7 linked regions of the Ovis aries genome follow. The protein of the gene in region 1 binds, or shares a complex with, the protein of each later gene. Links are inferred from orthologs where the notes say so. Each region holds a gene or a part of one and is shown in the gene's direction. Other genes may lie near its edges.

Region 1 (3,896 bases):
TAAGATATTCTACAGACAGTGTGTGCTTCCTTGAGTTACCTTGAGGTGACTGTTAGTGCTGTGTGTGTAAGCCGTCTCTTGACTCCCGAGTTAGAAAATTTTAAGATCTGGGACAGTTTATGTCTATTTTTTGCCAAGTGCTGTAAGTACCCAGAATAGTGTGGTGCTTGCTGTGGAAACTCAGTAAATAAATTCTGAATAATGGAAGATACGCATTTCTACCCGGATGCCATGTTGAAGAAATATTTTGGTATAGAAGATATTAAATCATTGGACTAAATTATTGCTTCTGAACTTGGAGGTTGAATCGTAATAGAAACAGCGTGCATGTAAAGGCCTTCTTCTGCTTATAGGTGTTACATAATGACACATTCTTCCCAAGTGCAAGGCAGCTGTGTAGGCTTGGATGAAAAGGAGGCAAGAAGGGGCCACGATAGCCAGTCCCCCCGACCCCTGTTCATCTTAAACAGAAGACTGATTCGTTGCCCTTTGCTCCCAATTAAACCCAGTCCCATAAACTTCATTCTAGATGATCTGTTCCTGTAAGACCAGTTGAGAGCTGGGAGTTTTCTGGGGGTGTTTTGAGGAGATTTGTTTGTAATAGGTACTCTTCACTTCGGATGGTTCCCCCACTGTGTCCCTTAATTCCCAGCCTTTCCTTCTTGCTTTCTCTTATGCAACCAGTGGCTTGTCTTCACTTCTCAGTCAAGGTTATTTTCTTTCTCCAACCTATTATCTTGCCTACTGATACAAGGGAAAAGTTTAAAGATTCATCTCTGAAATAGCAGAGTCTGGATTCATTACCTAATTATCTCAACCTCAGGATGTAGGTCAGCAGATTCAGTCCTGAACATCTGTACACCCAGCCTTCATTTTAGACCTCACTCTAGTCTCCCGTTTCAGTCTCTGTTTGATTTCCAGATCTCTTGATTATTTAAAAGGAAAACCTTGGCTTCTCATTTTATATGATGTCACTAGTAAATTAAGAGTTCTTACAAAACTTACCATAAAATTTAAATAAAATAATGATTGTCCTTCTTTGTATTTGATTTTAAAGCTTCCACTGCATCTAAGGCTTTTGGTGCCTCAAAGACATTTGGAAAAGCTGGCGGTACCAGCCAAGTGAACAGCTCTGGGGGAACACAGGCCAAAGTGGTACCCATTGCCAGCCTCACCCCATACCAATCCAAGTGAGTTATTTCATAGAATACGTTTAGAAGGAACTGAGGAGTATAAGAGGTTGTTATGGGCTCTTGAGTTACTCATATGTGAACTTCAGGGTTACCATGCATAAAATAGGTTTCCTCCGTGTTTTTTTTTTTCCAGAAGGGTTACAAATTGTGGCAACCTTTAACTATTTCATAATAAAATAATGGCAGAAAGAGCAATCAGCCATAGCCTATGGAACTTCATTCATTTTAAAAGAACTTGAAAATTAAAAGATTTAATGTTTTAAGGGGGGCTTCCTGGTGGCTCAGCTGTGAAGACTCCGAGTGCCAGTGCAGGAGACGACAGGCGTGTGTACAATCCCTGGGTCGGGAAGATCCCCTGGAGAAGGAAATGGCAACCCACTCCAGTATCCTTGCCTGGGAAATCTCAAGGACAGAGGAGCCTGGCGAGCTACAGTCCATGGGGTTGCAAAGAGTCAAATACGATTTAGTGGCTAAACAGCAACAACAGAGTTTTAAGAACCAGTTGATAGTCTGATGAGTAAAAATAAATCTTTGTTCTAATTCAGAAGGCATTTCATCTTCTCATCAAATAAATAGATGACTTTCAGTCCAAAAATTATTACTGCAATTTGGTTGGCTTAAAAGAATATGTGTGTACTGGAGCCTATTATACAGAGTGAAGTAGGCCGGAAAGAAAAACACCAATACAGTATACTAACACATAGCTATGGAATTTAGAAAGATGGTAACGATAACCCTATATGCGAGACAGAAAAAGAGACACAGATGTATAGAACAGTCTTTTGGACTCTGGGAGAAGGCGAGGGTGGGATGATCTGAGAGAATAGCATTGAAACATGTATGTTACCATATGTGAAACAGATCGCCAGTCCAGGTTTGATGCATGAGACAGGGTGCTCAGGGCTGGTGCACTGGGATGACCCAGAGGGATGGGATGGGGAGGGAGGTAGGAGGGAGTTCAGGATGGGGAACACAAGTAAACCCATGGCTGATTCATGTCAATGTATAGCAAAAACCACTACAATATTGTAAAGTAATTAGCCTCCAACTAAAGTAAATAAATTTTTTTAAAAAAGAATGTATTTGTGTCAACTGTATTCATATACACTGAACAGATACTTCTTTTATATGATTCCTTTCATTAAACATTTTAGCAGTTGAAAATTTGTGCTCTTCTCAAAGTTCTTTCAGATATTATTTACGTATTTATTCTTCAGTTGTTGGCAATGTGAGGAAGGGCTGTTCCCCTGTGAAATGATGAGTAGGGTAGCTAATGTGTCCAGTAGCTACACGTGGGATGGGCACCAGGATTGGATATCAGACCTTGCGCCCCCCCCCCCCTTTTTAATGGCTTCTGTCTAAAATCATAGTGCTTGAGAGTGTTTTCTTTTGGTGGCTTAACCAATGCCATGTTCCATACCCTTGTGTTTACATTCCATGTGCGCTGGAAGTGAGACAGAAGTTTGACATCAGTTATATCAGTTCCTATAATTGAAAATAGCGGCAAAATATAATTGCTGGTATTACTGCATTTTCTAGCTTAGAACCTTTCATTAAGGGGATAGTGTTGCCTTGGTGATGCCTTTTGGAGAAGAGAAAGCGTTTATAAATTTACTTATTTGACAGGAGAATGAGTCAGTGTTAAATCACCTTGTGTGTTTTACTATTTGCTTATTCTATAAACTGTCAAACCTGGATGTCATCCTGGGGTTTTAATTAGCTGGATTAAAATACAGCTTCCCCTGGAAAATAGAATATGCATAAGGTAAGAAAGCCTCTAAGAAGATAATAGGGAGGGAACGTTTCAGATCTTTCCCAAGTAAGACTCCCGACACTGAGATGATCCGTTTTTTATTTTTAGGTGGACTATCTGTGCTCGTGTCACCAACAAAAGTCAGATCCGCACCTGGAGCAACTCTCGAGGGGAAGGAAAGCTTTTCTCCATAGAGCTGGTTGACGAGAGTGTGAGTATCTGTCAGGTGGGGAAAGAAGAGTCCTCAGCTCTGGGAAACAGAGGGCTTACCTCTGTGCAGGCCCGTGAGGTGAGAGATAACAGTAGGCCAAGAAGAAACATGCTTCTTGCTGCTGTCTTTCTTCCCTGGTAACCTTCTGATGCCGTCTGTGGGCACGGGGTTCAGTCATAAGTAAAATCCTTGGTCTCAGGCGGAAGCATTTATAGCAGTTGACATTAGTTTTCTAGATGTGAGTAGTCTCACAGGCAGGAGAAATCAGAGACATTGTCTGACTTGCCAGGAGGCTTAGTCAAAGCCCCAAGAGGTGATGTCTCCTTGGGAGCCGCATGGAGCCCTGGGCCACAACAGAAGGCACGTGGCAGCCTTGACAAGTGATAAGTGGTTGGTTTTGCGAGAGATGCATTCTGGCAGCGCAGACTTCTGCGCTTTATGTAAACGAAACCAAACCACAATGGAGAGATGAAAAATCCAAGTAGTGGCATCTCAACAAGCGTCTTGTCATGCTATATCTCCGACCATTCTTTTTACTTAAAATCCCTAGTATATACTTCAGGCATTCTTTTCAAATGGCTGTATATTTCCTATTTGTTCAAATCTCTAAGGGGGCAGAAAAAAATAGTTGGTTTGTTTTTTTATTTGTTTCTTTTTTTTTTTTTTTGAAGATGGGATAACACCGCCAATGTATTGACTGAGTCAGAATCCACCTTTTTTAAACCAAATTATTGGTCTC
Region 2 (4,432 bases), on another chromosome or scaffold:
GAAAGATAAACATCCCGCTTTGGTTGTCTCCCGGAAAGTTACACAGCCAGTAGCATCCTCTTTGGACTTCAGGGATTCCCTACGGGACTTGCCAGCTGGCACCCTTCCCTGTGCTGCTGAGAATAACCCTTCAGAGAGCCAGAGCTAGCATACTGCCCCTGAGATGAAGCTACTGCTGTTTTATTTGATGGAACCCAGTCTGCACTTACGAAGTATAATCTTGTGTTTTTACGAGACCAGAAACTTGGAGCAATTAAGATAAGCATCCAATATTTGTGTGACTATCTGAGGGAACCTACCAGTTACCTCAAAAAATTAAAGCCAGGTACTGAAGACCCTCTAGGGCCTAACAACTATCTCCCTTTCATTCACTGCCCTCCCAAATATTCATAGGATACTCATAGGCTAAGTTAGAATTCCACGGGCAGAAGAGCCTAATGAGCTACAGTCCATGGGACTGCAAAGAGACACAATTGAGCGACACATGAATGAAAAGTCTTGCCCATTACTTTCCAACACCTTGTTCCTGCTAAATGTCCTGCACACCACCGTGCCGTGCTTAGTCACCCAGTTGTGTCTGGCATTTTGTAACCCATGGACTGCAGCCTGTCAGCTACTCAAGCCCAGCTTGAATCCCTGCTCCTCTCTAAAACCTTACCTTCCTAATTTGCCATTGATAACGCCTACCTGGCACTTGTGTGGCCTCCATTTCAGTGTTGTATTCTTGTCTGAGTAATCTTGATGCCATCCTCTTTAATACCTCTTGATAACTCCACTTAACCTGTAGGACAGCACAGTTGCTACTTCCATAGGACCTTCCTTGACTTCTTGAGTCTCATTCATTTCCATATTACCAGCACTTGGAACAAAGACACTTAAGAGCTCCCAGAGAAATGAATAAATATTAACAGCCTAAGGACTTCCTACACCCTTCAACACAAACACACCCTTCTCAGACTTTCACCAAATGTACACATTCAAAACATTTACTGTACTCGAAGATGAGTGCTCATAACAGCTCTATTCCTAACTCCTAGCCCAACCCCATTCTTCCACACTCCTCCTCAAAAGAGCCTGGGGTATTTGAGAAGTGGGTCTGGCTGGACAGCGAGGTCACAAAAACCAAAAGTCTGAATGCCATAGATTCACATTGCACGGCTGAATATCTATCTGGGCGACCTCCAGCAAGCGCTGCTCTGTACCCCAGGGCATGTCAGGGAGCGGAGACACAGCTACTTGCGTGGTGGAGCTGGTGAATTTGCCTAGGTAACTCAGTTCGCTGCGCTTACACCACCGCAGTGGCCTACCGAATCCTAACAATCGGTACCAGAGCGCCAGGCGAGGTTGGGCCCAACAAGGGCGGGAAGCAACAGGGTTCAGCGGGCACTCAATGGAGCATCGCGGCGCGCTCTGATGATGTCATTCCTCCGCGCCCGCCAACTGGCAGGTGATTGGCTCGTTGGTTCGGGGGCGTGTCCCGGCGGCTGAGGCGAGCCACGGCGCGCGGGCGGTTGGTCCATCCCTCCTTCCACGCGGGTATAGGCCGGGCTCAGTGTCTTTAGAGATCAGCCGGAGGCAGGCATGGCTGGAATCTCCGCTTCAGGCAGCAGGAGGCGAAGTGGGCCCCCGGCACCTAGTCCTGGCCCTCCGCCCAGCACCGGGCACCCTCCGAGCAAGCGGGCCCGAGGCATCCCCGCCGCCCCGGACCCCGAAGACCCATTCGGCCTGCATGGGGATTTCACCGCCGACGACCTGGAGGAACTCGACACGCTTGCGTCCCAGGCCCTGAGCCAGTGCCCGACCACGGCTCGGGACGTGTCCAGTGAGTTCGCCTTTTCCCCTTGAGAGTGGTGCAGACTTCCCTAGCCCCCCCCCCCCCCCAGATGGCTGTGCCTTCGCAACCCCGCAGTGACCGTTCCGGTGTCTTGCACCCACACTGCCCCTTCCTAGGAACAGTTTGATTTAAGCAGCTGTGTGTCCCAAGAGGTCTTTTGATTTGAGGGGAGAAATGTATCAGGAATGTCAAACAGCCGATTTGGAATGTAGGAAGCTAGGTTAACATTTTACTTGGGTTTCTATACTTTGGACCACTGGGTTCTTAGTTCTCAGCAGAGATCTTTGCAACACATCTATCACAGCCATAAGAAGCATCTTTACCTACACATGGGGACCCATGGTTATGACATATTTGGGAGGCTTTGGATCGAATGAAGACCACCTTTTCCTTTGGACCGCCTGAGCACAAGAGGGATCTGGCAGAGGCAAGAGATAGGATAGACTTATTCTTTTTATACAACCAATTAATTGTACTACGTCCCCAAACCTTAGAAGCTACAGACACTTAGCAACAAACAAAAGCCCCCACCTTCTTGGAGCTTACACTCATTCTAGTGACGTCTTATGGGGTTCCCTGGAAGAGAAAGGTTTTGAGGGTACCTTGAATCTCTACTTGGATGTCTTGTAGGCAAGTTAAATTCCACACAGTCATTTCCTGGAAATCCAGTCATCTGCCAGCATCTCCAGCATGATGCCTGGCAAAGCAGACATTCAGAAAAGACATGTTGATGAACACATGTTCTGCATGGTGAAGACTGGCACCAGTTTCCATCCCATACCACAAGCCAACATCCCCATTGCCCCTTTCCAAATCCTGTACCTTTACCTTTTTCTTCCATCCCAAGAATCCATCCTCTGCATCATCTCTGCCATCTCCCTGATCTGTGTTACCATCACCCCTCCCCTGGACAAAAGTCCACTAAATTGTGTACATATTTCAGGTTATGACTCCTACAAGTCAGACTTCACACCACAGCCAGAGTGATCATTTTAAAACTAAAATCTCTGTGACACAGAGATGCACAGTGAACATCCCTACTGAAAGCCTTGAATGACTTCACACTTCCGGTATAAAGATTAAAATCATTAACATGGCCCGGAAGACCCAGCGTGGCCTGACCCTTTCCCTCTTGGGTTTCTAGCCACACTGACCTTCCTTCATTCCTTGAATTCTCCCTGCTTCCCTACAATACAGAAACTGCACACGCTGTGTCTTTTTTTTTTTTTTTTTGCTGCACTGCATGTGGGATTTAGTTCCCAAGGATCAAACCCACCCTCCCTGCAGTGCAAGTGTGAAGTTTTAACCACTGGACCACCAGGGAAGTCCCTATTGCTGTTTCTTACACGTTGAGTGTTCTTTCCATCCATTCCCCATCGCCACTGCTCTGGTTAATTCCTGCTTGTTCTTCAGCTCTCCATTCAGTTATCACTTATCTAGGGAAGGCTTCTGGAGAAGGCAGTGGCACCCCACTCCAGTATTCTTTTGCTTGGAAAACCCCATGGACAGAGGAGCCTGGTGGGCTGCAGTCCATGGGCTTGCTAAGAGTCGGACACGACTGAGCGACTTCACTTTCACTTTTCACTTTCATGCATTGGAGAAGGAAATGGCAACCCACTCCAGTGTTCTTGCCTGGAGAATTCCAGGGACAGGGGAGCCTGGTGGGCTACCATCTATGGGGTCGCACAGAGTCGAACATGACTGAAGCGACTTAGCAGCCGGGAAGGCTTCCAGTCGTCCTTGTGGATGAAATCCCCTGTTACAGGCATTGCTCTGTTTGTTCTTCTCTGCAGCTATTATAACAGTCGTAATTTTACGTTTATTCTTATATTTTTGATTGCCATGTAAGCTCCATGAGTGTAAGGACTGTATCCATTTCTCTCATCACTGTAGCTTTCTTTAGAGGCTAAATTGTGCCTGACATATTGTAGATGCTAAGTAAATACTGTTGAATAATGGATCACTGAGCTTCGAACAGTGAGGTTCCCACAGCACCTTTCAGCCCTTAGCTGAGACCCTTAAAACTGGATGCAGGGAAAAAAACAAGAAACTGAGTGTGGAATGGGGAGAGGGTGGCAGAATTTGTTATTTCATAAGGATTGAATCATGTTCTTATGTTGGAAAATACCTATTCTCCTTACTAGATCTTTCTCTCATTTGCTTTCAAAAGTGATTGTTTTCAGCACTGGCTGTTAAAAGTGGGAAAATACTGAGCCTTAACAAGTATATGGGAACTGATTTTTCTTGATTGTTGTTTTTTACAGATGTTCATAAGTTCACCAGATTAGATGGGATGTCAAAATATCCTGCAGGAAAAAACAGAGAAAGTGTTCCAGTTAAAGATAATTTTGAATTAGAGGTACTTCAGGCACAATACAAAGAACTTAAAGAAAAGGTAAGGGATTTAACTTGTCATTTTTGTAGTTAATGCATTCACTTATGCATGTGTTAGAAAGCAGTATACAATAAAATATAGAAAAGTTTTAAGACAAGAGTCCAGATTCATCCCCGTGAATTGGGAGAAAGCTGGGGAAAGAAAGCCAGAAAATTTTGGTTGCAACTAAATCCTGAGATTCCTAACAGCCAAGGCAAGAGAAG
Region 3 (4,627 bases), on another chromosome or scaffold:
TAGGTTTACTATTGAGTAATTTCATAATAGTATCAAAATAGTAATGTAATCGTATATTTTATGCTGTTCCTCAAAAAGTACCATGATTTTCAAACTTATGGGAACCATGGCTCCAGAATAACTTTTAAATCACCTCTTTCTCTTCTACTTGCCTTCCCCTATTCTTGTTTATACCCTGGGCTATAACTTCTTTTGCTCCACTGTGAGGCTTCCCCGGTAGCTCAGCGGTAAAGAATCTGCCTGCAATGCAGGTTCGATTCCTGGGTCAGGAAGATCCCCTGGAGGCGGGCATGGCAGTCCACTCCAGTATTCTTGCCTGGAGTACAGTCCTTAGGGTCGCACAGAGTCGACACCACTGAAGCGACTTAGCACGCACTAGCAGATGGCAGCTCAGCCTAAAGTTTGGGAGGCCAGGGTATACTCACAGAGGAAATGAGGAGCATTGTGAAAGTTATTGAATCCACTGCTTTCCAAATCTGGCTGAGCATCAAAACGAACAACTTGAGACGTGCGTTAAGTCCCAGCCCTAGATCCCGATACAATGGGTATGGAATGAGGCCTAGAGATCTGTACCTTGAATAAAGTGCCTTTGATCTTACAAATTCAACTTCTGAATAAAAAACAAGAGGCCCAAAGTAGTCACGCCTAGGCGGGTCTCCTGGCTGGAGATTCACGGCTTTGAGCTTTGGGTGTTGGCGGAAGGGCATTTGGATTTTTGTTTTCCAGTCGTTGGGAAGGGCTTGCTTTTCCTAGCTCTTAAGGCTTCCTTGGTGGCTCAGAGGTTAAAGCGTCTGCCCCCAATGCGGGAGACCTGGGTTTGATCCTCTGGAGAAGGAAATGGCAACCCAATCCAGTATTCTTGCCTGGAGAATCCCCTGGACGGAGGAGCCTGGTAGGCTACAGTCCACGGGGAGGCAAAGAGTCGGACACGACTGAGCGACTTCACCTTCACCTTAGGTTCAGTAGATTGACCTTCCCTCGAGTTTCTCTCTAGGCAGGAGACGCGGTGAGTTAGCGGCTCTGCAGGTGCTATTTATGCCGCGGCCTAAACAGCTAGTTTCCTCCCAGCACCAGGCGGAGCAGGGAGTTTGACTGTGCAGCGGGGTGGGAGAGTGCCCCGCCCCCTGCCCCGCCCCTGCCCCGCCCCTGCCCCTGCCCCGCCCCTGCCCCTGCCCCGCCCCTGCCCCTGCCCCGCCCCTGCCCCTGCCCCGCCCCTGCCCCTGCCCCGCCCCTGCCCCTGCCCCGCCCCCTCAGAATTTCGGCGTTCCATCCTATCCCGTTCCCTCCGCTGGGAACTTGAGGCGGAGCTTCGCGCAAACTAGCTTCCGGGGGAGGAGGTACATTTGTGAAAGCGCATGGCCTTTATCTTTTAAAACAAGTTTCAGGCGTACAGCATTATAGCTCAGTGTCTGTGTATACTAAAGCATGATCATCACCACAAGTTTAGTTGCCATCCATCTCCATACGGTTAACTCAAGTCACACATTTAGCCCACCCCCGGGAAGCCGAAGGTCCTACAGTCGCGGAGCTGATTGGCTGACCATGGGCGTCTCGCAGGCCGGGGTTTTCCGGAATTGGGGTCGAGCTCGGGACAATGGACTATGGCCTCGTCGAGTCAGCCCTTGCTGGAGCTGCAGGGACCACTGCTCCCACCCAAGGACATGGTGGAAGAGGAAGACGAATATTTAAGGGAGGACGCGGAGGAGGACGAAGACACGGTGTTTCTAGACGCAGAGGAGCTTTGCAGTGGGGGCGTAAATGCTGGTAGCCTCCCTGGGCTGCTCCGTGGTGAGGAAATAACTCGCTCCTCGGGGGTGGGATCGGCGGATTAATGAATTGTTTCTATTATGGCCTCCTCCAAAGTACTGCACTCCATCGCTGCTAACAGAATTCCTTTGGAATCGCCTAAGTGCTTCGTCCTGTTTAGAATAAAATAACAATAATAGCAGAGACTTGAGCAAATACTTTATGTTAAGCTTGGGCTTCACGTGAATCTCATTAATGTTCACAACTTTTTGAGGTAGTTTTATAAACAAGGAAACAGTGGGTGTCCAGCCAGTATTAACACCCCGAATCAGGGCTTTTAACTATTTCTTTCCTGGAGTCGAATATGTGGTTGCTGTTCAGCTGCTTAAACACACATACACGTGAAACACCACAAGCACTGTTGACTCATTAACCTGTTGTGATCTGTATTTATCTTGTCTAGTTTCCTGTCCTAAGAATTACACCTATTGTGTGTTCCTGGTGACTGATGTTTAAGAATGTTTGAATGTTCAGACCAGTTGCTGTCCAGTAGAATTTTCTGTGATGGGATTGCTGTAAATTCGAACTGTCCTATACAATAGCTGCTAGCCATGAGTGGTTATTGAAAACTTCAAATGCAGCTAGTGTACCAGAGGAGCTGAATCTAAAGTTTTAATTTTAATTAAATAGTCACAGGTGAGTAGGCAGCACAAGTTTAGACAGAAAATGTTTAAGTTTTTGTGGAGGGTTTAGTTATTCATCCTGCAAGTGTTATCGACTGGCTAAGGTGTTCCAAGCGAGATAAGTTTGTTGTTGGGGTACCCTGGAGAGATTAGATGATGAGGTTGCTGTCTTAATGGAGCTTCCCCTCTAAGTGCATTAAATAGGTATTTTACAAATAATCGCAGCTGTGTATGCTAAGTTGCTTCAGTCATGTCCGACTCTTTGCAACCCTATGGATTATAGCCCACCAGACACCTCTGTCCATGGGATTCTCCAATCAAGAATACTGGAGTGGGTTGCCACACCATCCTCCAGGGGATCTTCCCCATGATCCAGGGATTGAACCGTTGTCTCTTGTGTCTCTTGCATTGGCAGGCAGGTTCTTTACCACTAGCACCACCTGGGAAGTAACTATAATATCAGTGCTTAATAGAAATTGTATGAAGTGCCATGAGGTTATATTTATGAGATTCAGGGAAGGTTTTCTGAGGGAGTGACAGTTAATCTGAGTTCTGTAGTAAATGTGGTAAACAGTAAGGAAGAAAATATTTAAGGCAGATGCAACAGCTTTTGCAAAGACTAGTAGGAGGGACCTTGACTTTTTTTTTTTTTTTTTGATTGGAGGATAATTGCTGTACAGAATTTTGTGGTTTTCTGTCATACATCTACAAGAATCAGCCATAGGTACACCCATATCTCTTCCCTCCCAAACCTCCCTCTCGTCTCCCTCTGGATCCCACGCTTCCAGGTTGTCACAGAGTCCTGTTTGAGCCACACAGCAAATTCCCACTAGCTATCTATTTTACATATGGTATTGTAAGTTTCCATGTTACTCTCTCCATACATCTCATACTCTTCCTCCTCCCCTGCCCACATGTCCATAGGTCTGTTCTCTATGTCTGGTTCTCCATTGCTGCCCTGAAAATAAATTCATGAGTACCATCTTTTTAGATTCCACATATATGCATCAGTATATGATATTTATTTTTCTCTTTCTGACTTCACTCTGGAAAATAGGCTCTAACTTCATCCATCTCATTAGAACTGACTCAAATGCGTTCCTTTTTATGGCTGAGTAGTATTCCATTATATATATGTAATGTACCACAGCTTCGTTATCCATTCATCTGTCGATGGACATCTAGGTTGCTTTCATGTTCTAGCTATTGTAAACAGTGCTGCAGTGAACACTGGGGTACATGTGTCTTTTTGACCCTGACATTTTTTTTAGATACTCCTTGGAGGTCAGTATTGGCTGAGATCAGAGTAGCAGAGAGGCAACCTCTTTTAGGAGAGGAACAACAGACTTGCCAGGTACCAGGCCTCCCTCCTGGAATACAATGACAAATAAGACATTATCTTATTCTAGAAAGCTTACAGTGTAGTAGCTGCTGCTGCTAAGTCGCTTCAGTTGTGTCCAACTCTGTGGGACCCCACAGACGGCAGCCCACCAGGCTCCTCCATCCCTGGGATTCTCCAGGCAAGAACACTGGAGTGGGTTGCCATTTCCTTCTCCAATGCATGCATGCATGCTAAGTAGCTTCAGTCGTGTCCAACTCTGTGTGACCCCATGGACAGCAGCCCACCAGGCTACTCTGTCCACAGGATTCTCTAGGCAAGAATGCTGCAGTGGGTTGCCATGTCCTTTTCCAACAGTGTAGTAGAGGAAGACAGATAAACAGGTAAGTGGAATATAGACACTGCAATAGACACCTGTACAGGGAACCGTCCCGGGATTAAAGAGAGTAGTGGAGTTGACAAAACATTGGGAAAGATTTTAAATTATCCTAAATTAACATTTCCTTTTTTTTTTTTTTTTTTTAAAGTTTCTGTGTTTGATGAAAACACTCAGGAGAAATGTGACGTGTTTGGACGTTTTCCATTAACTGATGCTTGGTGGCGAGTGAAGGTACAGGTAAAGCCAGTAGGATCAAGGAACTATCGGGTTCAAGGATTTCCATCTTACTTTTTACAGTCAGATATGTCACCACCAAATCAAATCCACATCTGTTCCCTCTTTCTTAAAGAGTGTAATGTCTCCAGTGAGCAAAGAATTAAGTTTTTTACATGGTTAAATAATAAATCAAGGCATAAAGACCTCAATTTTGAAAATCTTATGGAAAACTTAAGAACATGGCAAGAGGAAATTGAAGGGAAT
Region 4 (3,896 bases), on another chromosome or scaffold:
TCAGAAATCCCACCTGGCGGTACAGTGAGGGGGATTCTTCCCCCCTCAAAAAAAGGGGGGAGCTCTCTAGCACCTGCTTAGAGATCTGGTGATGAGAGGTTTTTGGTTTTTTTTGCCTCGCCACGTGGCTTGTAAGGTCTTAGTTCCCTAACCAAGGATCAAACGCATACTCACGGCAGCGGGAGTGTGAGCATTAACCACTGGACCACCAGGGCAGTCCCGAGAGGTTATTATTTTTTAAATAAATTTTTATTTATTTATTTGGCAGCACATGAGACCTTCTGTCTTCATTGTGGCATGAGGAATCTTTCATTGCGGCATATAGGATCTAGTGCCCTGACCAGGGATTGAACCCAGGTCCCCTGCCTTGGGAGCTTGAAGTCTTTGCCATTGCACCACCAGGGAAGTCCCCCGAGAGAGTATTTTAAAATTAATTTCTCTTTTTCTTTCTCTTTCATAGGGAGGAGAGTGGCAGCTGCATTGGGAGCCTGATTAGAACAGAACATGTAAAGACAGTTTGTGATGGACAGTATTTACATAATTTCCAGCGTAAAAGTGGAGCCATACCTATCACAAATCTAATGGCAGGTGACAGAATTATTTTAAGTGGAGAAGAGAGAACATTGTTTGCCTTGTCTAGGGGATACGTGAAGGAGATTAACTCAACAACAGTAACCTGTTCGTTAGACAGGTGATGAAATGTTCCCTTTTCGGGGGGGAGGGTAAAGCTTTATCGATAAGTAAACATATACCATACAGTTCATACATTTAAAGTATACAATTCAGTGGTGGTTAGTATATTCACCAACCTATGCAGTCAGCACCAAAATCCATTTTAGAGCATTTTCATTGCCCCTGAAAGACTCCCTGTACCCTGTAATCACTCCCCCAGCCCTAGGCAACCACCAGTTCCCTTTCTATATTTATAGATTTGCCTTTTCTGATTCATACACTTGTGTGGCCTTTTGTGACTGGCTTTTTTTACTTAACATACTGTTTCTGAGGTTCATCTTCATGTAGTAGATTGTACCAGTGCTTCATGCCTTTAAAAAAAATTTTAGATAAAATTCACATATCATAAAATTAACCATTAACCATTTTAAACATACAGTTCAGTGTGTGCATGTTAAGTCACTTCAGTCGTGTCCAACTCTGTAGCCCTATGGATGTAGCATGCCAGGCCCCTCTAACCATGATGATTCTCCAAGCAAGAATACTGGAGTGAGTTGCCATGGCCTCCTCCAGGGGATCTTCCTAACCCAGGGATTGAACCTGAGTCTCTTATGTCTCCTACATTGGCAGGCAGGTTCTTTACCACTAGTGCCACCTGGGGAGCCTATATGTTAATTGGCATTTAGCAGTTATCCAACTGCTAAAGTTTTGTTTAGTACATTATGTTCCATAGTAGTAATGTGGACATGTGTGTGTGGGTGTGTGCTCAGTTGCTAAGTTGTGTCCGACTCTTTGTGACCCCAGGGACTGTAGCCCACTAGGCTCCTGTCCATGGGATTTTCCATGTAAGAATTCTGAAGGAGGTTGCCATTTCCTTCTCCAGGGTAGCTTCTCAGCCCAGGGACTGAACTCACATCTCCTGCATTGGCAGGTGGATTCTTTACCACTGAGCCACCTGGGAAGCACAATACGGATGGAATCTTACCTAAATAATTCTCACAACCACGTGTGCAGCAGGCAGGACAGATGTCCTGTGTTGGCTGTAACGCTTATTTCTCCTCCTTAGCCCTCTGGGAGCTCACCATTTTGTTCAAATTGCTTTTTTCCATTTATTAGTTTATCAGTTCAGTCACTCAGTCGTGTCTGACTCTGCAACCCCATGAATTGCAGCACGCCAGGCCTCCTTGTCCATCACCAACTCCCGGAGTTCACTCAAACTCACGTCCATTGAGTCTGTGATGCCATCCAGCCATCTCATCCTCTGTCATCCCCTTCTCCTGCCCCTAATCCCTCCCAGCATCAGAGTTTTTTCCAATGAGTCACTCTTTGCATGAGGTGGCCAAAGTACTAGAGTTTCAGCTTTAGCATCATTCCTTCCAAAGAACACCCAGGACTGATCTCCTTTAGAATGGACTGGTTGGATTTTCTTATAGTCCAAGGGACTCTCAAGAGTCTTATCCAACACCACAGTTCAAAAGCATCAATTCTTCAGCGCTCAACTTTCTTCACAGTCCAACTCTCACATCCATACATGACCACTGGAAAAACCATAGCCTTGACTAGATGGACCTTTGTTGGCAAAGTAATGTCTCTGCTTTTTAATATGCTATCTAGGTTGGTCATAACTTTCCTTCCAAGGAGTAAGCATCTTTAATTTCATGGCTGCAATCACCATTTTCCATTTATAGTTGTGATATAAAGTGTAAATTAAAACAAAGTAAATTAATTTAAAGAAAAATATTAAGTAAATAGTAGAATAGTTGGTATGAAAATTTGTGGTAGAAGCTAATATCCATGTTCGTTAATATCCGTATTCCCCTCTTCCTGGACCCCCAGCCTTCCTTGCATTTAAGTGCAGGCATGAGTCACATTTCTCAGTGGGTGGAGATCAGTAATTGGGATCCAGAGGGTAACTGCAGTGGAAATTTCCAGGCTTGCTTTCCAGTAATCAGTAATCCTGGTTAAGCAGTAACTAGCCCTAGCCCAGGTTTCATGATATTGGTGTATAAGCCGTGATATTTCTGCTGTTTCTTAGGAGTCCCTTCAGTCCGTCCTGTGAAGTATTTATTTAGTACCTAACGTGTTAGATATTTTGCAAGTTCTTGAAGAATTTGTAGTCTTGTGGGTAACAAATAAATATATCTTTCAGTCTAATATGACAAGTGTTTGAATTAATGGGAAACAGAGGAGAGGCATTTAACCCAGTTTTAGGAGGCTCGGGGAAGGCGAGTGAAAAGGGTTGTTCTAGATCTTCATCCTGTGGTGGAATGTTAGCTCTGTGAAGCAGCGTGGGAGGCGTATACCAGACAGAGGGCACGGGGTGTGGAAAGGCCTGATGGTGTGAGGTGGGGTGTTCTGGAAAGTGTAGGTAGTAACTGCTTTCTGCAATGTAAAAGATAAAGGAGTTATTGGAGAGGTCCCGTCATAGAAGGGTTTATGTACCATGTTAAGTGAACAAAAGAATGATAATCAGATTTGCAGTTTTTCTGTGAATGCACTGTGGAGAATAGAGTTAATCAGTGGAGGCAAAACTGAAAGCAGAGGAACCAGGCTTAGTGGCCTGCTAAGTGGCCTGCTATAGGAACCTGCTATAGTGGCCCAGGCTTGAGGTGATTGGGAGCAAGGTAGTTTTGACGGAGAAGGTGGAATGCCTTTGAGAAGTATTTGGAAAGTAAAATTGTCTGACACTGAGATCCTGATTGGATCTGCAGGGTGGGAGAGGGAAGGATCAAGACAGTCATGTTAAAAAAAAAAAAAGACAGTCATGTAGATGCAAGAGCCATTACCTGAGGTCAGGTCCCCAGGAGGAGGAGAAGGCTTCAGCAGGGATAAAAAGCTGTCCCGTTTTGCAAACTTTCACTGCCTGAGTTTTAACTTAGTGGAAAGATCTTGCTGCTTGCTGGACATTCAAAGCTGAAGCTTGCGTGAGAAATGGGGTAAGAGAGGAATGTTAGGTCAGGCCTGGTGATGTAGATTTGGGATTCAGACTCAGGTGGAGCCATGGTACCAGTAGGGAAATGACAAGAAAGAACAGTACAGAGGAGCATGGAAGGGACCTTGGAAGGGACCTTGGGAACATCGCAGGTCAGCCTGATAGCGGAGCGGGAGAAGCCTTTGGGAAAGAGACATGTATTGCAGGCCTGAGGAGGCAGGGGCCATGTGCTCAGGATCCTGCTGGGGGTGGTGAGCCCAGGTTGGAGTTCAAGGAAGGCCAAGTGAGTTGT
Region 5 (4,667 bases), on another chromosome or scaffold:
TGCAGTAGTTGGAAACCACTGCAGGATCTAAACCGGGGAAAGGTGTGACATGATTGACATCTTAAGAAGGTCACTTTGGTGCTGTATGGAGAGTGCAGTGGAGGGGCAGGGGACCACTCAGAGTGCTCCCATCAACACTCAAGTGAGAGATGATGGTGGCCTGAGCCAGAATGATGGCTGTGGGCATGGGAGAGGAGGACCAAGTTGCCATCTGTTTAGGAGGCAGAGCGCTCAGGCTTGCTGAAGGATTGCAGTATGTAAGAGGTGGGTCAGGATGGAGTCAAGGATGAGTCCCAGTTTACTGACCTAAATGCCTGCGTAGAAGTGGTACCATTTACACTGACCCCCTTAAAAGGCAAGAATAATCTCCCCCAGTAATCCAGGGAAACCTGATAAGGGAGGAAACCTGACGTAAGGAGAGGAAGTGGAGTCCAGAATTGCAGACCAGGAGCAGGAGGGTAACGGTCCCACAAACGTGGCTTCCTCACTGGCAACACTGCCAGAGGAGCAAGGCCCTAAAGGAACGCAGGGGTGCCCAAGGGTCCCTCAAAGCACACCAGGTGCTGCAAGAAACCAGAGGCCAGGAGCCCCTCCGTGACTTGCCCTCCTCTTCGCACACCTGCGGACCGAGGCTGCGGACGAGGGAAGACCTGCCAGGCTGACTGCTGTGTCCCACCGGCGCCAGTCGTGTCGCACCCTTTGTGACCCCATGGACTGTAGCCCGCCAGACTCCTCGGTCCATGGGATTTTCTGGGCAAGAACACTGGGGTGCGTTGCCATTTCCTCTTCCAGGGGATCTTCCCGACCCAGGGATTAACTAAGCCCCTCTTTTGGCACCCTCTCTTGGTCATTTTCCAACGGCCAGAGACGCAGGAGTCTATCCTCATAAAATGTTTCCAGTGCTTTCCATCAGTGACCTTCATCATTCAGCAGCCCTCCTCTCACAAACCCACTTCCCTCCCAACGGAGGGAAGAGCCCCCACGTGCTGCTGAGTCTTGACTCTCGCCTTCTCCTGCTGGCCAAATCTTTCTACCCCTTTTCGTCCGGGGAAGCTTCTGTTCTTTGGGATCAAAGAAGGATCGTAGAAGCCACGGCGAGCAGCCACTTCCCACCCCGGGATCCTGTAGCAAGGTGCGTTACTATCTTTTCGGAGCTGGCAGTTGCTGCTTCTGTCCGCGTCCCCGGCCCGCCCGGACGGGGTGAGACGGTCTTGCATCGACCCCGTACGCACCCCGCCGGCGCCCGACAAACGTCCAGGAAATCCGTACTAAATTAGTGACCCGGGCCGGGCCCGCCCGCACATCTCCGGATTCCGAGCTCACTGTTCGCTCCCCGACACCCTCTGGGCGTCTCGCGTTCGGGTGAGGGGCCGCGGTGGGGCCGGCTGCCCGCCGTGCTTCACAGGGGCGCTCGAGGGCCGAGAGTGGGCCTAGACCGCACGGAGGAACCCGGCGCTCCCGGGTCACGTGACAGGGCCCGCCCAGGGCGCAGCCTCCGTCACGTGACGGCGCAGCCGGCGAGCGTCTTTCTCACGTGACGGAGCTGCCGGCTTGCGGCCCAATCAGAGGGCGGGGGCGGGGCTGCCGGGGGCGGTGCGCGGGAAGGGAACCCCAACCGCCCGGAGCCGCGGGAGAGACCCGGAGCGGATCGTTGAGCTGGGGTCCGGCCCAAAGCCCCCCGCCCGCCCCATCCCGGTCACTGCGGGCAGCATGAAGTGTCTTGTCACGGGCAGCAACGTGAAGGGTGAGTCGGGGCCGGCCGGGGGCTGGAACCACGTGGGATGGCCCGAGGCGCCCGCAAACCGCTGTCTCTCTCCTCCCCGCAGTGCTCGGCAAGGCCGTCCACTCCCTGTCCCGCATCGGGGACGAACTCTACCTGGAGCCCCTGGAAGACGGGGTGAGGAGACCGGGTATGGGGGAATGGCGTGAAAGTCCCAACAGGGAGCCCTGATCGGGGCTCGAGTCTCGCCCCCATCAGGCAGGGTGCCCGGTGGGCACGTTTGCTGAGTTTAACAGGGGCCTCCCCTGTTGCTGGGGTGTCCCTTTGGGCCCTGTCATCTTCCTAGGCCGGTGTCTGAATCGAGAGCCCTTGCCCTCCCTCAAATGCCCAGTGGTGGATGGGGGTGATTAGGTAAAAGGCGTGGGTGCTGAAGGCTGGGTCGCGCCCTTGCTGTGGAAACGGCGGGGCTGACGCCCACTCGGGACTCGGGGAAGGCTTCATGGAGGACACCCCTAATGACTGAAAGGAAAGGGCGGGCTTCTGCAGGTGATGGTGGAACAGAAGCCTTTGGGGCAAGTGCCTGGGCAAAGCTGGCTTGAGGGCTGGGCCCAGCACTGCTGGTGACCACATCTTTCTCCCCACTTTTCCTGGCCCCAGCTCTCCCTCCGGACCGTGAACTCCTCCCGCTCGGCCTACGCCTGCTTCCTCTTTGCCCCCCTCTTCTTCCAGCAGTACCAGGCTGCCACCCCTGGGCAGGACCAGCTGCGCTGTAAGATCCTGATGAAGGTGAGGTGGGTCCCTCAGCAGTGGCAGGGCACTCCCCCCAGGAACCCCTCTTGGCAGTGCAGTTTGCTCTGGAGCACAGAGCAGGTGCCTGCAGGAGGAGAGATGTATACTGGAGCAGTCCGGTGCAGAACGCAGAGCCTGGCCAAGTAGAGACATCCATGGGGGTAACGGGCCATATGGAGAGGGTAGCTGAATCTGCCAGGAACCTGCAGGGAGTAAATGACTCTCAGGTTGGTCCTTGAAAGATACGCAGGTCTTTTGAAGGCATTCCAGACCAGGATAAGAGCACAAATGAAGGCCTGGAAGGGTGCAGATATCTGCATGTGTGAGGGGTCCTTTCCTGGTGTGACAGTGTTGAGCCCATGATGGGCCAGAGCCCAAGGCGACTGGACATGAGAGCCAGTTGGCGGAGGCGCAGTGCTGAGCGGATGTGTTTCCCTCGCCTAGTCCTTCCTGTCTGTCTTCCGCTCGCTGGCAATGCTGGAAAAGACTGTGGAGAAATGCTGCATTTCCCTGAATGACAGGAGCAGCCGCCTGGTAGTTCAGCTGCACTGCAAATATGGTGAGTGAGCAGCTGGCTGATCCAGGGGTCCTTGCGGTGTGGGATTAGAGGTTGGTGAGCCCGCTGAGACCCTGTCTGCCCATCCAGGGGTGAGGAAGACTCACAACCTGTCCTTCCAGGACTGCGAGTCCCTGCAGGCCATCTTCGACCCAGCCTTGTGTCCCCATGTGCTCCGTGCCCCAGCCAGGTGAGCACGCCCCTGGTTGCACGCTGAGCCCTAGGCTTTTCTCTTCCTTCTTTCAGCCTCAGGAGTCAGTTTAAGGAGGCACCTCCTCCGTTTTTCCTGCAGGGTATCTGTGAACCTCAAAGCGTTCATCCAACCCAGTTTGCTTTCAGGGCCTTGCCTGGCCCTTTAAGGGCAGAGGCTGGAGTGAGGAGGGGCCAGATGCTCCCTTATCCCATGTTCCTCTCTGTCTCCTGAGTCTGTATTCTCCACCTCAAAGTCTGACTTGGCTTTCTGACCACTCAGCCCCACTCTGACTCCTCTTTCAAAGAACAGGTCTCCGGCTTGCCCTCACATCTCCTCTGGCCTTTGAAGGTCCGTTAATTTTTGTGGCTCCGGGACTTGTGACCTTTCTCTGACCTGGTCATCCTTCTGGGATGAGTCCCATTCAAGGGCAGCCTCTCTTCCTACCTGGCTGGGTTCTATCCCTGAGGGGTTCTCAGGCCACGGCTGGACAGGGAGGTCACGGTCCTGGAGGGCTGCCTGAATAATCAGCTATAGGAGAGGAGCCATTCTGGGCAGTCACAGGGGCCGTACAAGACCTGGGAGATGGGGAGCCCAGCAGACGCCAAGGTCCCTAGAGAAGACCAGAGGCTTGGGTCCCCTCCCACCTGCCCACGTGCAGGGTGCACCTTGCACTCAAGTAACCCAAGGTCTCACGTTTCTTTGCTTTTGGTAGCCGCAGGACCTGGTAACCTGAAGGTCCCTTTGAGCCCTGACTTTGTTTTTCTGAGTTTTGTTGAAATAGCACTACCTAGGATCCCTTTGGGTAGAGAAAGAATCAATCCATGGTCTGGGTTTTGAGAATTTTTCTTTTTTTTAAAACGAGTGATTGTTTCTCTTTATCTTATGGACAATTTCAAATTCATATAAAAGCAGATGATAACCAGCTTTGTCCCAGTTGTCTTGAGGCAAATTCCAGGTATTATTTCACCTGAAACTATTTACTAGCCTGTCTCTACTAGACAGGGACCTGAGGACTCTTTGTAAGGCGGTGTTCATGCGGACAATGTGGGTCTGGTCTCCCAATCCTGGATGGGCAGGTGCCACCTGCCTGGTTCGGTTCAGCACAAACCGCCTGAACTTCCTGCTGCCTTCTGTGGGCCTGTTCTTGTCTGCCTCCATCTCTTGCAAGAGGACTGCTCTCCTACAACATCCTGGGAACCTTGGGTGAGGCAGAGACTGTGTCCTGCTGCCCCCGTGCTCCACCCTGGGGCCATGCTAGGCCTGGCCTGGTTCTCTTTGGACGTTGGTGTGCCTCGCTGTCCCGCCTCCAGTTCTCTGAGAGCAAGCCACTGGGCAGGACTGAGCCTCGGGTGAGATACTATGCCCCCTCACAGGGTCCTGGTGGAGGCTGTTCTGCCTTTCCCCCCTGC
Region 6 (4,057 bases), on another chromosome or scaffold:
TTGCCTGGAGAATGCCCTAGATCGAGAAGCCTGGCGGGCTATACAGTCCATGGGGTCGCAAAGAGTTGGACACGATTGAGCGACTGACCACGCATACACTTGAAATCACCTCTTTGAAAAGCAGAGTCACACCATTTCAACCTGAAAAAAAAAATTCTAGACAAAGGCAGCAGAGGCCAAATCCTCGCCTGAAACGGGAGGATAAGCCCCGAGGGCCAAAGCCTCGGAAACAGCGCCAGCCAGGCTCCTGCCCTCAGGCCATCTACCCACCGCGCTCATCTTCCTCACTCTTCCTCACCACCTTTCCTATTCAAATTTCAGCCTGCGATTTCCTCTGCCTCCCTCTCCCGAGTCCCACCTCTACCACTCAGCCTCGGCGCTCCCGCCTGGCCTTCCCGCGCCTCTCCTCCCCCAGCTCAGCCACCAGGGTCAAGCCTCCTGCTACCAGGCTTCAGCGTTCCGACCGGGTCTCCCGACCCTCCCCCCTTCCCCCCATTCTCGGCCAGGCCACCTGTCCCCCGGGCTCGGCGTCTGCCGCCAGGTCTCCGCTCCCCAGCCTCCGGCTGTCTGGCCGGTCTCCCGCCACCCCCCGATCCAGCCTCTATCCTCGGCTCATTCTCGGTCCCCCGGGGCTCGGCTCCTGCAGCCGGATCACCGTCCCCCGGCCCGGCCTCCAGTCCCCCCCCCCCCCCCAAGCCCCGTGTCTCTGCATCTGCGGGCTTCAGCGCTCGTTCCCGCCCTCGCTGTCGTGGCAAAACAAAGGATCCGCCGCCGGATCGTGCCTGCATCCTGTCTCCTCCTCGGGGTAGCTGCAGGCCGTTGCAGGTCCCCAGGGCAGGCGCTGGGCTTGGGGGCAGGGGGTGGTGGTGGAGGGAACCAGTCCAGGACTGACGGCGCGACGGCATCACTCACCGTTCAGCCACAACGTTGCAGCTCTGCTGGATTCCACTCCTGGTCTGCTTCCGCCGCAGCCGCGCTCAGAGTTGATCCTCAGAGCAGGCCCCGCCCCTGGCCCCGCCCACCACCCGCCCCTCTGCTTTGAGGGCTCAGTTCAGCCCCGACACGTCCATCAGACCCCGACTCGCCCCTCCCCGCGCCCCGCCCGCCCTTGAACCCCGCCTCCTCAAGGCCCGGCCCCACCGGAACCCCGCCCCCTCACAGACCCCGCCCCGCACGACAACTCTGCCGTCTCACGGGTCGAGCGAGCTCCAGCGTCCCGGCGACGGTGCGTAAGCCGTTCCCGGCTGTTGCTTGGTTGTGGTCCCGGTTCTGCTCTAGGACGCCACCTCCTTAGAGGCCCGTGCGCTCCCCTACTTCCTGCTCCTGCCCAGTTCCCGCGCTCGGTTTGAAGATTCCGTCCCGCCCCGGAGGCAGAGCTCGTGTCCAGCCAGCCGCAGAGGAGCCACGGGTTCCGCCCCCCGCGAAAGTTTTGGAGGTAAACGGAGGCCGGACCCCTGGGTAGAGAGCAAGACGTTACCAGCGGGCCTTCCGGGAGGGCAAACCGTCTCTTCCCGCCCATTCTCACTGCCCCTTCCCCCACTAGCCCGCCAGGCTCTTCTGTCCACGGGATTCTCCAGGTGGGAATCCTGGAGCGGGTTGCCATGCTCTCCTCCAGGGGATCTTCCCGAGTCACGGATCGAACCCAGGTCTCCCTCATTGCAGGCGGATTCTTTTTCATCTGAGCCACCAGGTATTATTTACTTCGTTCTGTGTTATGGCTACCATTCCTTCAGTGCTTATCTGTGCTCTAACATTGTGGTAATGTCTTTTCAACAACCCCTGGAGGTAGGAATAACAGTTCGCACCTAGGCTTTAAAAGGTTAAAAAGGTTGGTTTGCTCTTGGTAAGGGTTATGCAACTCAGATCCTAGGAATAAAGCCTGTATGCCTCCCAGATTGAGAGAAGACCAGTGTTTGGCAGTCCCTTTGTTGCTGCATAAAACTGAAGACTAGGACCTACTCCCAACGTGAACAGTGGTTGGCATGCAGTTATTTGTAAGAGATAACTAGTGGGCTAGCTTCTTTTAACCAGTCCCATCACCCCATAAAGAGGCTCAGGTCGCTTCCTGTGCTAAACTTGCTTATCAAACGATGCTCCAGTTAAAGCAGTAGGAGGGGCTTTTGTGTAGATTGCACTAATTTACTTAGAGAAACTTTAGAGGAAAACAGCTGGCAGTGTCTTCTCAATTTTGAGATTTCTTTTTATAAAGGTGCCTCCCAGCTGTCCGAACTTGATCTGGGCCTCCAGGGGAAAGACTTTGGGGGAAGGTGGGCGGCACTCCAGCTGAGGGAAATGTGCAGGAGTGGGCCAGATCTTGCAGGCAGTGGTCATTATGGTTCATTTGGTGAGAAGGCTGAATAATAAGACATCAAATGGGCAGTGGTTTCCGGCCAGATTTTGAAGAGTTTGGACTTACTGAGGTAAACTTGAGTGTGCATTTAGTGATGCTCTGAATCATTAATGAGTGATTAATTGTGGAAAAGTTATGTAAATAGTCCTTAAAAATTTTTTTAATTGGAGTATAGTTGAGTTACAGTGATAATTTCAGGTGTACAGCAAGAGTGATTCAGTTATGCATATATCATTCTTTTTCAGATTTTTTTTTCTCATATAAGAATATTGAATAGAGTTCCCTGTGCTACTCAGAAGGTCCTTGTTGGTTGTCTGTCATCTGTATAGTGTATATGTGTTAATCCCAAGCTCCTGATTTATTCCTCCCACTCCCGCCACATTTCCCCTTTGAGATGGCTGGATGGCATCACCGACTCGATGGACATGAGTTTGAGTAAACTCCGGGAGTTGGTGATGGACAAGGAGGTCCGGTGTGCTACGATTCATGGGGTCCCAAAGAGTTGGGCACAACTGAGCGACTGAACTGAACCATAAGCTTGTTTGCAATATCTGTCTGTTTTGTAAATAAGTTCACTTGTATCATTTTAAAAAAATACTTAAGATTCCACATATGAGTGATCTGGTAGGATATTTGTCTTTCTGTGTCTGACTTCATTTAGTTTGATAATTTCTAGATTCATCCCTGATGCTGTAAATGGCATTATTTCACTCTTTTTTATGGCTGAATAATATTTCATTGTATATGTATACCACATGTCTTTATCCATTCCTCTGTTGATGGACATTCAGGTTACTTCCATGTCTTGGCTACTGAAAATGGTTTTAAGGGTGGTTAGTCTGGCAGAATTAGGCTGTTTGGTTGGGAAATCCTGTGAGCAGGGTAGAAGGGTGAAAGAATCAGAAAAATTCTGATTTTCTGAATCACTGAATGTTTTCTTCCTTACAGGAGACTTTTGGGAAATTTAAATTTGAGTTACTCTGTTCAAGCATAGACAAAATGATTGAAGGAAGGGGGAAAAAAAGAAAAAGTCAATTAGTATACTAAATTATGTAAAGAGTATATTTCATTTGGGAAATAAACTGAATTACTGTAAATGAAGTTTTAGTCACATTATTATGAATACTTTAGCAGTGGGAGAAATAGTATAAATATATTACAAGAGGCCCTAAAAGGAATGATATTAAGAAAACATTGCCAAATATTAGAACTTGAACATATATATCGGAAAACACAAAATACTTTTGAAACTATTCTCAGGACAGACGGAGAAGTTGTAGTGGGGAATAGAAATTGATTCTGAAGGAGATCAGCCCTGGGATTCCTTTGGAAGGAATGATGCTAAAGCTGAAACTCCAGTACTTTGGCCACCTCATTCGAAGAGTTGACTCATTGGAAAAGACTCTGATGCTGGGAGGGATTGGGGGCAGGAGGAGAAGGGGACAACAGAGGATGAGATAGCTGGATGGCATCACGGACTCGATGAACGTGAGTCTGAGTGAACTCCGGGAGCTGGTGATGGACAGGGAGGCCTGGAGTGCTGCAATTCATGGGGTCGCAAAGAGTCGGACACGACTGAGCAACTGAACTGAACTGAACTGTGATTAGACAAAAAAGAAACTAGGAGAACTGGGCTGGAGAGAACCTTGGGAGTCAGGCTTCAGCTCTTCTGGTGTGTGTGTGCTCAGTCAGGTCTGACTCTCTGCG
Region 7 (3,896 bases), on another chromosome or scaffold:
TGCCTTGAAAATTCCACGGACAGGAGCCTGGTGGCTACTGTCCATGAGGTTTCAAAGAGTTGGACTTTCTGAGCATATGCACACATACAAGCAAGTCACTTAAACTATCTGAACTTTAGTTCATTTAGTTATTAAAATAGAATTATTACTTGTCTAGCTCTCGTATTATTGTTATGATTGAATTAGGTAAAAATTGTTTGTAAACTATAGACTACTACAAATATTAGGTATATTAAAATTTAGTATGATAGTTAAATTATCTGCTGTAAAAGAACTGTGTTCAAAAGTTTCTTCTTTATTTCAGCTTTTGTGATGCTTGAGTAATAGGTCACTCTGCTCTGGACCTCTTTCTTTTTTTTCTTATATGGCAACATTTACATCCAGAAAACATCCAATTTCTGTTTAGTGTCCTCACAGGAAGTATGGTATTTTCCTTGATGTGGCCTCAGATAGTGACTGTATGTTGACCATAAACAATACATGACACTGGCCCAAACTGTGGTTACAAGGATCACCATCCAGGTGGAGGAGACAGGAAATAAAGTTTTTCTTAGTGGCTATAAAACATCCAAAATTACAACTAGGACAGTCGAAAGAACTATGTTGCTACTAGCTCTACTTTCCATCTTTGGCATGTCATAGAAATACATTTTACATAGAGTTCATTAGTTAAATAGCATTTATGCCTTATATTACCCACTCCAGTGTTCTTGCCTGGAGAATCCCAGGGGCGGGGGAGCCTGGTGGGCTTCCGTCTATGCGGTCACACAGAGTCGGACACGACTGAAGTGACTTAACAGCAACAGCATGCCTTATATTACTTGCTACATAAGTTAACAATAGATATTCATTAAATTGTTGATTTTACACGAAAGAAGCATAATAAAATGTGTCTGGACTGGCCAGCCTAAATAGTGATAAAAAAGGTAAGTAAATTATTGAACTCTTTACTTAAGTAGGCTGGAAATAATTGCTCACATAAAGAAACGGCAGCAGTATGCAAGTGATAACTTGTGTATAAGAATGCAGTTAAATTAGTTGCTTTTAAATGGTACCCCTTTCAAGTGAGCACTTTTAAAGCATATAAATCTTTGGTAATATCAAGGTCTGTTTAGGAACTTGTCATGTTCCAGAACAGCATAGGTGAGTTACCCTCCTCAAATAATTATTTAAATCACCTTCATAGTTCCAGAGATATATTTTAAAATTTAAACTTTTTTTTAATTGATGGGGCTTTCCTGGTGGCTCAGTGGTAAAGAATCCACCTGCCAATTCAGGAGACGTGGATTCAGTCCCTGGGTCAGGAAGATCCTGTGGAGTAGGAGATGGCAACCCACTCCAGTTTCCTTGCCTGGGAAATCCCATGGACAGAGGAGCCAGGTGGGCTACAGTCCATTTAGTCACAAAGAGCTGGACACGACTTAGGGACTAAACAACAAACAGCAGTAGTTCCTGAGATGACATTTTTTTAATTTGCATTTTTATTTTAATTGATCAGTCATTTTACTTTCTTCGGGATACTTTTCATGCAGTGTTGTTTGTTTGAAGATGGTATATATTTTTCTATCATTTTTATACAACTCTGCACAGTATACTTTAGAATTAAATGAACTAATGTGCTTAGATACATTCTACAGCACCTGGGTTGTACTATGTAATTATTAATGAGGAATTTTAAAAAATGTAACATTTACAAATAATATAAAAACTATATATAGGACCCATATATTTATATTACTGGATATATAAAGTTATTATACTTTTATTCTCTAAAAATGGAGTGAATTTAAAATTACTTGGTAAATGGACCAAAAAAATCCATAATTAAATCATTAAGAATGTTATCTTCCCAAATTCAAGATTGTTGAAACAAAAGGGAAGTTATGTATTGAGTCTAAAATCAAAATTATTGCTTTTCTTGAGTATTTGCAAAGCTGAAAACTGCTAGATTCAATTGGACATCTAAGGAAACTACTTTTTGATTGATTGATGATTTTGAAGTACCAAGTGGTAGGCAACTTATCACCTAACTTTCTAGTGTATAAACTTGAACTGACATCTTTATGCTCAGCATTTTGCTAGATACTGAGCTATCACAGAAACTGTCCTTGCCTTCAAGTAATCTGTAATCTAGTAATTAGATTATTTTGTGTGACAGTTACTTGTTTATTCATTCCAGGTACTATAAACATAGAGTAGAAAATGATTAACTTGTTTATTTTGTTGGTTTGGTTTGTAACTAATAATAAATTCATTCTCTAATTTTGTGCATGATCAAGTGACTAAAAGGTATAAAAGAAACATGTATGACTAAGATGGCTTTTTTCTAGCCTTAATACTGGTTAAAACTTCTTTACCCACTTTCTCTACTTAATTTTGTTCTTCTCCCTACCTCATTCACAGCATCAGTTCTAATCTTGCCATTATCTCTAACCTGTCCTGACTTAATGCTAAATTTTCTTAGTTCTATCTAAATGTTGTCAGTTCACGTCAACATGGATTGTCCAACTTAGATGAATGTTATAATGGCAATAGGGAAAATTTGGAGATTCAGGTAATACAGAAAGAACTCCCTATTTATCTTTTTATTCCTAATTCTGATAATTCCTACTGCACAGTTTATTTCTAGTACTAATGTTTATTTTTATCAATGTCTTACGACAAATAAGTTGATCAGTTTTCTTTTGATAAAAATATGTACTTTTATTATTGAATATGTATTTCTATTCTGCAGTGGCTTCCACAGTGGCTCAGATGGTAAAGAATCTGCCCGCAATCAATGCAGGAGACCTGGGTTCGATCTCTGGGTCAGGAAGTTCCCCTGGAGAAGGGAATGGCTATCCACTCCAGTGTTTTTGCCTGGAAAATTCCATTGACAGAGGAGTCTGGCAGGCTATAGTCCATGGGGTCGCAAAGAGTCAGACATGACTGAGCAACTAACATGCATTTCTAATTAAATTCTTAAAAACTTAAAAGTTTTTTTAAAATATGGAATTCCCAATTCTGAGTGTTTTCATTCCCTAAAGCAAGTAGATCACTTCTTACAACTTGTTATTACTATCCTCCAGGTTTTCATTGTTTTTGAAGTTTGTTTAATTGCTGTCACTTTACCAGAATTTGCTCCTTTAAGAAAATAATTCTACATAATTAAAGTGGGTTTTTGTTTGGTTAGTTGTTTTTGTACTTTCACATCTCTTTTTTTTTTCGTCCTTCTGCCAAAGGATGAGAAACCAACAACAGACTCCATGCTGGGCGTGTGGATTGGTGACACTGCTATTCCTTGCACTCCAAGTGTAGCAAAAGGAAAATCAAGAGCAAAACTCAGCTGCACAAAGTAAGTTTAAACTTTTCAGTTTTTCTTATATTCAATGAAGTAAATATTTTTAGTATTTTGGTTGGGTTTTGTGTGTATGTCAAAATGGTTATAAATTATTATCCTTAACTTTGACATGTAATGTTTTGAACTTATTTATGTCTGGATGTGTTAAAATTTGTGAGTTTTAACATTAAAATATGTTAAATAACAGTTGAGTATTTATGACATTTAGAATATCTACATAATTTTTGAAATATTTGTTTAATAGGTTAAAATCACAAAATCAAGAGGAAGAACTTATGAAATTAGCTAAGCAATTTGATAAAAATATGGAAGAGCTGGATGTGATTCAAGAGCAAGACAAGAGAAATCATGATCTTATCCAGATGATTTCAGAAGCAGAGACTTCACATAATTACAGAGATAATATACAGATGCAGTTACCATGTGATATAGTTCCTGAAATAGATAAGGCTATAATAAAGAAGCCAGTGAAAGAAAACACCAAGATACCTGTGGTAAATGATCAAACCAGCAGTCAGAAGCCATTTGACCAAAATGCTGAAGCAGCCTTTATTGC

What was found.
Region 2: the proteins of RPA1 (region 1) and ATRIP are in contact, whole or in part, in a crystal structure (PDB 7XV4), measured with the Homo sapiens proteins. The link is inferred for Ovis aries from reciprocal best matches to the Homo sapiens genes RPA1 and ATRIP. Residues at the interface, in NP_002936.1 of Homo sapiens: Ile33, Thr34, Arg41, Arg43, Ser54, Met57, Thr86, Leu87, Lys88, Asp89, Arg91, Val93; in NP_569055.1 of Homo sapiens: Gly53, Asp54, Phe55, Thr56, Asp58, Asp59, Leu60, Glu62, Leu63, Asp64.
Region 3: the proteins of RPA1 (region 1) and HELB are in contact, whole or in part, in a crystal structure (PDB 7XV1), measured with the Homo sapiens proteins. The link is inferred for Ovis aries from reciprocal best matches to the Homo sapiens genes RPA1 and HELB. Residues at the interface, in NP_002936.1 of Homo sapiens: Asn29, Ile30, Arg31, Ile33, Arg41, Arg43, Leu44, Leu45, Ser54, Ser55, Met57, Ala59, Thr60, Gln61, Arg81, Ile83, Asn85, Leu87, Arg91, Val93, Ile95, Met97, Glu120; in NP_001357214.1 of Homo sapiens: Glu496, Glu499, Val500, Lys502, Ala503, Cys504, Asp506, Phe507, Glu508, Asp510, Asn512, Ala513, Glu516, Trp517, Thr519.
Region 4: the proteins of RPA1 (region 1) and DNA2 are in contact, whole or in part, in a crystal structure (PDB 5EAY), measured with the Homo sapiens proteins. The link is inferred for Ovis aries from reciprocal best matches to the Homo sapiens genes RPA1 and DNA2. Residues at the interface, in NP_002936.1 of Homo sapiens: Asn29, Ile30, Arg31, Ile33, Arg41, Arg43, Leu44, Leu45, Ser54, Ser55, Met57, Asn85, Leu87, Lys88, Arg91, Val93, Ile95; in NP_001073918.2 of Homo sapiens: Glu6, Leu7, Glu8, Leu10, Met11, Lys13, Ser14, Phe15, Trp16.
Region 5: the proteins of RPA1 (region 1) and RAD9A are in contact, whole or in part, in a crystal structure (PDB 8JZY), measured with the Homo sapiens proteins. The link is inferred for Ovis aries from reciprocal best matches to the Homo sapiens genes RPA1 and RAD9A. Residues at the interface, in NP_002936.1 of Homo sapiens: Asn29, Arg31, Ile33, Arg41, Arg43, Leu44, Leu45, Ser54, Ser55, Phe56, Met57, Asn85, Leu87, Lys88, Asp89, Arg91, Val93; in NP_004575.1 of Homo sapiens: Asp297, Phe298, Ala299, Asn300, Asp301, Asp302, Ile303, Asp304, Tyr306, Met307, Ile308, Met310.
Region 6: the proteins of RPA1 (region 1) and PRIMPOL are in contact, whole or in part, in a crystal structure (PDB 5N85), measured with the Homo sapiens proteins. The link is inferred for Ovis aries from reciprocal best matches to the Homo sapiens genes RPA1 and PRIMPOL. Residues at the interface, in NP_002936.1 of Homo sapiens: Arg31, Pro32, Ile33, Thr34, Thr35, Arg41, Arg43, Leu53, Ser54, Ser55, Met57, Asn85, Leu87, Lys88, Arg91, Arg92, Val93, Tyr118, Asn119, Glu120; in NP_001332824.1 of Homo sapiens: Asp514, Asn515, Gly516, Ile517, Asp518, Asp519, Tyr521, Phe522, Leu523, Glu524, Ala525.
Region 7: the proteins of RPA1 (region 1) and ETAA1 are in contact, whole or in part, in a crystal structure (PDB 8JZV), measured with the Homo sapiens proteins. The link is inferred for Ovis aries from reciprocal best matches to the Homo sapiens genes RPA1 and ETAA1. Residues at the interface, in NP_002936.1 of Homo sapiens: Arg31, Ile33, Thr34, Pro39, Arg41, Arg43, Ser54, Ser55, Met57, Asn85, Leu87, Arg91, Arg92, Val93, Ile95; in NP_061875.2 of Homo sapiens: Thr599, Trp600, Glu601, Ala602, Asp606, Asp607, Leu609, Leu610, Tyr611, Ala613, Cys614, Asp615.

What each region holds. Positions count from the first base shown.
Region 1 is NC_056064.1:22,817,907-22,821,802, forward strand, and holds part of RPA1 (replication protein A 70 kDa DNA-binding subunit), read left to right. Parts: intron 1-1,057; coding exon 1,058-1,190; intron 1,191-3,054; coding exon 3,055-3,157; intron 3,158-3,896. UniProt on the Homo sapiens protein: As part of the heterotrimeric replication protein A complex (RPA/RP-A), binds and stabilizes single-stranded DNA intermediates that form during DNA replication or upon DNA stress.
Region 2 is NC_056072.1:51,443,647-51,448,078, reverse strand, and holds the start of ATRIP (ATR-interacting protein), read left to right. Parts: upstream 1-1,482; 5' UTR 1,483-1,581; coding exon 1,582-1,822; intron 1,823-4,098; coding exon 4,099-4,229; intron 4,230-4,432. UniProt on the Homo sapiens protein: Required for checkpoint signaling after DNA damage. Required for ATR expression, possibly by stabilizing the protein.
Region 3 is NC_056056.1:153,678,721-153,683,347, reverse strand, and holds the start of HELB (DNA helicase B), read left to right. Parts: upstream 1-1,560; 5' UTR 1,561-1,601; coding exon 1,602-1,788; intron 1,789-4,295; coding exon 4,296-4,627.
Region 4 is NC_056078.1:24,047,978-24,051,873, reverse strand, and holds part of DNA2 (DNA replication ATP-dependent helicase/nuclease DNA2), read left to right. Parts: intron 1-460; coding exon 461-691; intron 692-3,896. UniProt on the Homo sapiens protein: Key enzyme involved in DNA replication and DNA repair in nucleus and mitochondrion.
Region 5 is NC_056074.1:41,691,869-41,696,535, forward strand, and holds the start of RAD9A (cell cycle checkpoint control protein RAD9A), read left to right. Parts: upstream 1-1,592; 5' UTR 1,593-1,710; coding exon 1,711-1,744; intron 1,745-1,826; coding exon 1,827-1,897; exon of another isoform or gene 1,898-1,910; intron 1,911-2,377; coding exon 2,378-2,506; intron 2,507-2,953; coding exon 2,954-3,068; intron 3,069-3,155; coding exon 3,156-3,255; intron 3,256-4,631; coding exon 4,632-4,667. UniProt on the Homo sapiens protein: Component of the 9-1-1 cell-cycle checkpoint response complex that plays a major role in DNA repair. The 9-1-1 complex is recruited to DNA lesion upon damage by the RAD17-replication factor C (RFC) clamp loader complex.
Region 6 is NC_056079.1:14,255,535-14,259,591, forward strand, and holds the start of PRIMPOL (DNA-directed primase/polymerase protein), read left to right. Parts: upstream 1-1,257; 5' UTR 1,258-1,435; intron 1,436-1,543; 5' UTR 1,544-1,690; intron 1,691-4,057. UniProt on the Homo sapiens protein: DNA primase and DNA polymerase required to tolerate replication-stalling lesions by bypassing them.
Region 7 is NC_056056.1:40,912,442-40,916,337, reverse strand, and holds part of ETAA1 (ewing's tumor-associated antigen 1), read left to right. Parts: intron 1-3,221; coding exon 3,222-3,334; intron 3,335-3,584; coding exon 3,585-3,896. UniProt on the Homo sapiens protein: Replication stress response protein that accumulates at DNA damage sites and promotes replication fork progression and integrity.